2 linked regions of the Tribolium castaneum genome follow. The protein of the gene in region 1 binds, or shares a complex with, the protein of each later gene. Links are inferred from orthologs where the notes say so. Each region holds a gene or a part of one and is shown in the gene's direction. Other genes may lie near its edges. The genes, in order: Rab3-GAP and Rab3GAP1.

Evidence for each region.
Region 2: the proteins of Rab3-GAP (region 1) and Rab3GAP1 are in contact, whole or in part, in a cryo-EM structure (PDB 8VYB), measured with the Homo sapiens proteins. The link is inferred for Tribolium castaneum from reciprocal best matches to the Homo sapiens genes RAB3GAP2 and RAB3GAP1. Residues at the interface, in NP_036546.2 of Homo sapiens: Arg197, His198, Pro199, Gly200, Ser276, Pro277, Phe278, Asp279, Met281, Lys282, Ser285, Asn286, Ile287, Gly289, Phe290, Asn291, Ala292, Ile294, Arg377, Phe378, Gly379, Leu380, Pro381, Asp382, Arg385, Cys395, Thr397, Leu398, Arg407, Arg415; in NP_036365.1 of Homo sapiens: Thr19, Ser21, Trp23, Glu24, Glu142, Ser143, Asn146, Leu147, Leu149, Ser150, Ser153, Ile154, Ile169, His170, Trp173, Arg174, Met176, Arg187, Asp189, Glu191, Met192, Val193, His194, Leu195, Arg196, Pro199, Tyr202, Ile211, Ser214, Lys215.

The regions. Positions count from the first base shown.
Region 1 is NC_087395.1:21,701,095-21,705,010, forward strand, and holds the start of Rab3-GAP (rab3 GTPase-activating protein non-catalytic subunit), read left to right. Parts: upstream 1-1,292; 5' UTR 1,293-1,394; coding exon 1,395-1,479; intron 1,480-1,525; coding exon 1,526-1,746; intron 1,747-1,794; coding exon 1,795-2,065; intron 2,066-2,110; coding exon 2,111-2,429; intron 2,430-2,898; coding exon 2,899-3,916. Other genes in the region: chm (histone acetyltransferase KAT7), read right to left, coding at 1-924, 975-1,007. UniProt on the Homo sapiens protein: Regulatory subunit of the Rab3 GTPase-activating (Rab3GAP) complex composed of RAB3GAP1 and RAB3GAP2, which has GTPase-activating protein (GAP) activity towards various Rab3 subfamily members (RAB3A, RAB3B, RAB3C and RAB3D), RAB5A and RAB43, and guanine nucleotide exchange factor (GEF) activity towards RAB18.
Region 2 is NC_087398.1:6,844,952-6,848,867, forward strand, and holds the start of Rab3GAP1 (rab3 GTPase-activating protein catalytic subunit), read left to right. Parts: upstream 1-1,151; 5' UTR 1,152-1,236; coding exon 1,237-2,508; intron 2,509-3,161; coding exon 3,162-3,358; intron 3,359-3,362; exon of another isoform or gene 3,363-3,601; coding exon of another isoform or gene 3,602-3,882; intron 3,883-3,916. Other genes in the region: uncharacterized protein LOC103313103, read left to right, coding at 1-55, 114-318, 374-493, 545-627, 680-819, 867-966; haf (leucine-rich repeat and fibronectin type-III domain-containing protein 5), read right to left, coding at 3,602-3,882. UniProt on the Homo sapiens protein: Catalytic subunit of the Rab3 GTPase-activating (Rab3GAP) complex composed of RAB3GAP1 and RAB3GAP2, which has GTPase-activating protein (GAP) activity towards various Rab3 subfamily members (RAB3A, RAB3B, RAB3C and RAB3D), RAB5A and RAB43, and guanine nucleotide exchange factor (GEF) activity towards RAB18.

The DNA.
Region 1 (3,916 bases):
GACGCTTTTGCCCAAAACATGCTTGGATTTTCGGGTGCTAGCGGAGCGAGTCAACTTCCGAGTGACTTGTTTCGTGCTTTCCGTCTCCGAATCAGACACATTTCGATCTTTGGCAGCAACCAAAGTTTTTTTCGTAATTTTTTTATCGCTCATTTTCCGAGTAGTGCTGGACGATTCGGCGCTACTCTCACTATCAGAGCTGCTACTAGAGGCGGTTGAGGACGTAGCCGAACTCGCAGAACTGACCACGGCCTTAGATTTAGGCGCCGGTTTTTCGGGCTTCTTCTCCACAGGTTTGGGCTTCTCGACCGTTCTGGCCGCAGCCTTGGGCCGGGGTTTAGGTGGCGCGGGCTTCGGCCGACTCTTCTTGGCCGCATCGTCGGATTCGGAGCTATTTTCCGGCGAGAAAATGCTTTTTTTCTTGTTGGCGGAATCATTCTTTGCGTTTTTCCCGACCACCTTCTTCGGTGGTTCCTTCCCTTTGGCGCCCTTATTTTGCACGTTTTTAACGGCCGGTTTAGGCAGCGGCTTAGTGGCGGCTTTAGGCGTGATCGTGGCGCTGCTTTTAGGCTTTGCTGTGCTTTTGCGCTTCGCGCTAGGTTTAGGTTTGTCGTCATCTTCCGACGAGTAGATGGTGGTTTTGGCCGGTTGTTTCCCGGTTTTGGGGGCTTGGGTTTTGGGTTTAGGGGCCGGTTTGGGGTCTGATGACTTGGAAGTGCCGGTTTTGAGGCTGTCTGAGCTTTTGCGCGGGTTTTTCTGGATCGTTGCGCTCTTTTTTAATTCGGATCCGGATTGTTGTTTGGTGGATTCTTGCGAACTGGACGATTCGCTATCGCTGGATGAGGACGAGTCGGAACCGCTTGACGAAGAGCTGGAGCTGGAAGAGTCGCTTGAGCCGGAGGAGCTCTCGGTTGAGCTGGCGTGCTGGAAAAACTGGGGTCAGAAGGGAAACCGCGTTCGTAGACACGGCGTACCTTCTTGTTGTTGGGTGCAGTCATGTTGGACATGCCCTTTGTTGATTAAACGCTTTATTTACAAAAAATATCAACAAAGCACTTGACAATCCACTGACAGTTGTGCTTTAGGTTAGTTGGTTGGTGCTGCTAATCGCGACAATAGCACGAACTACGCGATGGATTTTAGCCAAAAAGTGGCCTTAACTAGTCACAAAAACGCACAAATCAATTGACTTGAAGTTGCTAATGCATCAAGTAATTAAGTTGTGCTTGAAAAAACACGTAAAAGCGATATAAATTAGAAAACTTAATATCGGAAACTGTAAAAGCGGAACAGAAACCTGTAATACCGTGTTACCATTTGCCATCCCATCGATTACTTGTCAAATCTGATTGTTTTTCAATGTGGTTTTTTAAAAAATTGCTAATTAGTCGAAAATGTCTTGCCAAATTAATGTGACGGCCAACATAGCGGACGTTCCCGCGATACGCAGGTGTCTTTTTCCAACTGATGATTCAAGGGGTAATTTTTTGTAATTTCGTACACAAAGCCTAATTAACTCTTGCAGGTTCTGATAGCTGGTTGCAGTTGTGCGAATTGTCGGTTTCCCCAACGGGTGATGTAATTGCACTCGCAAATGACCGTAGACTTGTTATTTTGACCTCAAAATGGGATACTAGTAGCTCACTAAGTCAATTTCAAATCACCTATTCCGGCTCTGTGCATGAAAGTGACAACATTAAATCAGTCATTTGTGTTCCTGTTGTAAGCCAGACTAAAAGCTCACATGTAATTCCCCCCACAAGTTTACTTTTTTCCCTAAAAAACCCATTCCAGATTGTCCCTGATTGGACTTGCATTTTGCTAGGATTCGAGTCAGGTTTTGTACGCTTTTATACCGAAAACTGCGAGCTGTTATTAGAGGAACAGCTTCACAATGAAGTAATTACGAGTATTAAATGTCGGAGCCAACACAACCCAAGGCCTGACATTGCCCCAGATCTGCACCCTGAGGAGATTTACGTACAATACCAAAGCACGGTTTGTGTCATTTCAGGAAACCAGTTATTTCCGATTTTGAGATCTTGCCGCAGCGATTTGGCTAAAGGTACAATCAGTTGCGATTTTTGCGTAAGTGAAACAAAGTTTCCAGTCCAAGCCAAAGGCGATAGTTTGGAGCTGACTCAGGGCAATCTGGCCCCCAAAAAATGGGGCTTCCAGGACCAGGCCACCATCAACGACATCGCGGTGGTTGGGGTTAATTTGCACGGGACTTTTGACCACCTACTTACAGCCTCAACCTGTGGCGGCTTTGACACCAAATACCGCTCGCAAGCCCCCTACAATAACCTTGTCTTGGCCGCGGGCTCGCGCCCTTTTGTGGGGTTCCACTACGCGCTGGAGGGGTGCCCCCAGCCCGTCTTCAGCGACGTGGCCAAAGCCGTCGCCACCAAAATCAAATCTGCGCTACCGTAAGCCCTACTATTATTAGGCAGTATTTTTAAATAAATTAAGTATTGTTTATTTTATTGCAAGCTTTATTCAGGGCCGAGCCAAGCCTAAACAGACCAAATTTTACAGAATATAATAAAAAGTCATTTCCGACTACGCAAAATTTCGTGAGACAACTGAAAAGTCTAACAAAACAGACCTGAAAAGTGTTAGTTTTTTACGAGCATCTTTCATAACTCTCTTTGATTTCAGATTTCTTATTGAACTGCGAGTGTAACTGTCCGACGATATTTAGTTACTGTTTTTTATTATGTTATTTTTGTTTCTTTTATTACATCTATTTCAGCTTTATCAGTGACAAGGAAATGATGGCATGTTTGCAATATAGTTTCACATTTAGTTGTTTCCTTATTTATTTCTGGTTCCGAAAATCTTGATTTGGCTCGGCCCTACTTTCTTAATTGGTCTTTAACTGCGGAAAATCCCCAGGGGCTGGCTTACGGGGAATAAGGCCTCAGTGGACAAGCAAATGACGGTGGCAATGCAGCCTGCAGAAAGCATGGGCTGCCGTTTCGGCCTCTGCGATTTGCGCCGCATTTCCACAAATATCGTCCTATCCCCAGATCATAAATTAGCAGCGGTGTCGGACGCCTTAGGACGCGTGATCTTGATGGATGCGTTCCGAGGCGTCACTTTGAGAATTTTCAAAGGCTACCGGGAGGCCCAGTGCTCCTTCATCCAAGTCCCGGACGAAAGACACTCAAAGCACAGGATCGGGAATAAAGTCGCGTTGTTTCTCGTGATTTACTCGTCAAAGAAAGGAACCGTTGAGATTTTCACGGTGCAACAGGGCCAAAAAATTTGCACCTTTTCGGCCTCGAAGTTCAGCCGTCTCGTTTACAACAATTACGGTCTCATGGGGTTCACAATCACCTCAAAGTCGCGGTTTGTCTGCCAGTTTGACACTGTTCTAATTGACAACGACGGCCAAATCAAGGAGGTCTTAATCCCGTTTCATTTCGCCTTAAGTGAGAAAAATAATAAAAGGGCTCGTGATATCCACCTGTTCAAGAAATTGAGACAGTTGTTGAAACATAGTGATTGTGATAGGGAGACGCTCGAGAGCGAGACGTTGAAAATTAGCGCGGAAATCAAAACCGTTGAGTTGAAACTGCAAACTTTAGAACTGCTACAAAGCGATAACAATCTCCCCGCGGAGATTATCCTAAAATGTGTTCAATTGTTCATAGATAGTTCCGAGCCGGAAGCGGATAATTTACGAATCGTTGCGGAAAATACTCGTGTTTTGTTGAATTTCTACCTGTTTGTGAAACATCAAGGCGTGCAAGAGTCGGGGGAAAACCCTACGAGAATTAACCTCGAGACGAAGCAATTAGGCAACTTGCAAAAACTCCTAGACTTGAGCACCCTCAAGGAGCACAAACCCGGAGCGCGAGTGGCGTTCCAACAGCCCGAGTTGTCACCGTCCGAGTTCCTATCAGCGTTC
Region 2 (3,916 bases), on another chromosome or scaffold:
TTCGGCAAACATGGTAAAGATCTTCACTTTTTTACTTTTATTTCAATATTGCATGGTATGTTAAACACATACACACGTTTGCTTGCAGATTTGAATTATTAATTGTGTTTTAGTGCGATTTATTGAAAGTAACTGATCGAGTTTACTTTGATATAGAATCTGATGGTAAATATCTTGGTAGAATTGTGATTGGGCTCTTTGGGGAGATTGTGCCCAACACTGTTTTAAACTTTAAACAGATTGCAACAAACGGAATTGGTGGTAAAACGTACGAGGGGACAAAGTTTCACACCGTTGTTCAACGATTTATGATTCAAGGTCTATTATTAATAATCATAAATAATGTAATAGTAAATAATAATATTTCACTCAGGTGGTGATCTGATTTATAATAACGGTTCGGGTTCAATTAGCATTTACGGAAGATTTTTTAAAGACGAGAACTTCACAGTGAAACATAATGGACCAGGGATCGTCAGTATGGCAAATGGTGGTAGGCATAACTCTCAAAAAGTGTAATTATCACTTAAAAATACTTTTTAAGGCCGCAATACGAACGGGTGTCAATTTTTTATAACTACAATGTTTGCTCCGTGGTTGGACGGAATACATGTTGCATTTGGAAAGGTCTAAACCGTTTTTACAGTCAAAAAATAAATTATTTTACGGTGTTTTACAGGTCCTGAAAGGTCAGGACGTTGTTCACCGAATAGAACACTTGAAAACTGATACTGATAATCATCCCTTACACGATGTGACCATAATTCGGTCAGGGTTGCTTAAAACTCAGGCCTTTTATGAATCGGACGAACCATACGAGTACGATTCTAGATTGACTTGTGCCTACAAACTAAATGCTTTTCTAGATTAACATTTTGGGCGTGGATTAAAGCTGGATGGTTCCCTTTATCTTTTTCGTTCGCAATCATCGGATTTTTTCAGTGGTTTATGGTCCAGCTGAAGTGAACAAACCGCTATCATTTATTTTTATCACTTTGTTTTTCTAAACTATATAATATTCTCCTCTTCAGTTTTGTATGTTTTAACACGAGATCTGATTAATTAAATGTCGTAAATAATGTAGACTTTATTTTCATTAGTAAACTTACATGAAGCACTCTGTAAGGATCGGTATTGTTGGTTGCAGGCGTTGCAGCCCATTTGATGTCAAATAAAAACTGACGTCTACGTTCTAGGTTATGTTTTTAAGTAATTTGCAAAAAATATGTTAGAAAAATGAACGAGGAAATTGACGAAACGGAATTTTATCACCAAGATTTTACAACAGCCTCCGAATGGGAAATTTTTATTGCGCGCATCGAAGAAATTATAAACCAGTGGAAGACAGAAGAATTAAAGGACGAGGCAGCAGATACTGAACTGTTTGGCGAAATTTGGAGCATCAAGAGCGAAAACCTGTCTTTCGTTGACGTCGATTTCAAGTTAACTTTTCTCAGAAAACAATCCACATTGTCCAAAGTCGAAGACAATGAAGAAACCAAGAAAAAGAACCCTTTTGACACCATGTACGATTTTGAGCTCTACAATTCTAAGAACACAGTTGAGCACTCCTGTCTCAGCAAGTGGTACGGCATTGACGAGTACATAGTCCTAAGTCCCTCCGGAAATTTTGGAATAAATTCAGAAAGTAGGATCAAAGTCTTGCTAAGTTCCGTCTACGTTGCGTCAGCTAACTCGAAATGTGAAACCCCGATTTTTGTGCAAATTAGAGAAAAGTGGCAGAATTGCTACTTGGGCGTTTACGAGTCTGAATCCATAAGAACCAATCTGGAGATGGTACATTTGAAAACAAGCCCGCGACTGTACCAGTATTTGTCAGGTCTTTTGGAAATGTTCAAATCAAAAATCCTCTCCCCCATGACGATGACAACTATAATGGTTTCCTTGCAATCAAGCTACACTTTAACCGACTTTGGTAATTTCGTGTGGAAGCAGGATTACATAAACTCCGACAGTGACCACTTCGATAGCACAGACGTATGCAGTGTCCCCTTTGGCGTAACAATCGACCCAATCGAGTCAATAATTCTTAAAACTTCGTGGTCGCATCTAAACCACCGTGCGGTCAGAGACAGCGAAAGTTACAGCGATTTTGACCCGATGTTGGCCGCAAAATGGACAATGTTGATCACGACCGCCGAACAACCGCTTTGTTTGCTTGGGGAATGTTTGACGGAGTTTTTACACTTATTAAACAACTCGTCCTCGACGTACGACGTCCTGGGCGAGTTTGCGTCTTCAGCAACGGCAGCCGCTGATGTCAGCAATCCCTTGGATTTACTAACAGAGCCCAAGGTACCGACAATCTCAAGTTTACTCACTAGAGCGGCAAGAAATTCGCTAACGAAGAATAGGAGAGGCGTGGCACCTCTGTCTGAAGAGATTTTAGTGCCGATTCTGTACTTTTTATTTCCCGACGCGGAGGAAGACTCCCCACATGTCTATAAGGAAATGTTCAATAGCAACCCCAGCAATCCACCGCAGACTGTAAGCATCTGTTTTGCAGCAAACTTTTAACTACTTTTTATTGTCTTGTTAAAATAATAGAGTAGCTAGCAAAAAACGATTCACAATTAAGCATATCGTATTATTTAGTTTATTCTTTAAAATTCATCGTTTTCACAATGTTTAGCAGTTATTTTCAAAGATTTCGTCAAAAATAAGCCACAAAATTGAAATGAATTATAAGTGTTCTTATGTTATTACAGTAATTTTCAATATTATAATGAATTGTACTAAAAATACGTTAATTAGTAATTACTGTAGTAAGCAGAAAAAAACATGTAATAAAAGAACTAAAAAAAATTTAATATTTTTTGGAAATTATGCACTCATAGTTGACAATAGCTGGTTATCGCAGGAACAATTGAATTTCGTAAAATTGTAACGTAAATTTTTGTGTTATTTGCAATAATTTCAAAATTAGATGTGTATTTTACATATTATAGGCCATATAGTTAAAGAAGCGTATGCTTTCGTACGCGAGACAATCATTAAACGAAAGAATTTACGAAATAATGCCTAAAAGACATTTCCTGACTGTCACAAAATTAATTGACATTCAAAATTATTGACACCTGTATGTTCTGGTAGTTGGGGATTGGTAAATAATTCACTCGAGTGTTTGGTTTATATTTCAGGAAGAGAACGTTTTTAATCTCGATTATGAATGTCGAGGCTTCAAAACATGCCCTTCTGACTCTTTGATCTGGCGATTGTCAATCGTCTTGGGCCACGCTCTGCAATCTCTTGGAGGCATTCGGGCCTTTGCGCACCTGTGGTTCGAATTCGCCCAAGAAATGAGGTACAGATGGGAGAAGAGCATTCCAATTCCAGGGTAAGTCACTTAAGAGATTTATTTAATTTTGCGAAAGTTATATACAAAATAAACTCATACTTCCGTCAACATATAAATAGAGAAATATCGTTTAAATATAAAAATACATTATCATTATTCTCTAGTAACTATCTTTAAAATTACTTGTTAACTGATCCTACTATCAGTCGTGCTGTTGCGAATTGTCTGAATCAAATAACAGCCTTTTTGAATCATTCCTTGCGAACACATTGAGCAACTAAATCAGAGCGGTACGAGACCGTTCCTAGTGGTCGGGTTTCTCGCCATGTAAATGTCCATATCGTGGTCAGTCCAGTTGTCGGAATTGTCGCAATAATTGTTTAAAGTGTGAGTCGATCCAGCCGTGCTGTACCGGCTACTGGGCCTGTTGTAGTCCCGGGACCGGGATCTGGGTCTGGAGCGTCTGGAGGACGCCACGGAATGGGTCGGTGCGTGGTGACTAGGTCCACGAGTCGACAGTCTGTCCGATTGCATGGTCAAGGACTGTCTCGATTGGCGCAAATCTGCAATAACAAACTCAATACTTAGACTCAATTC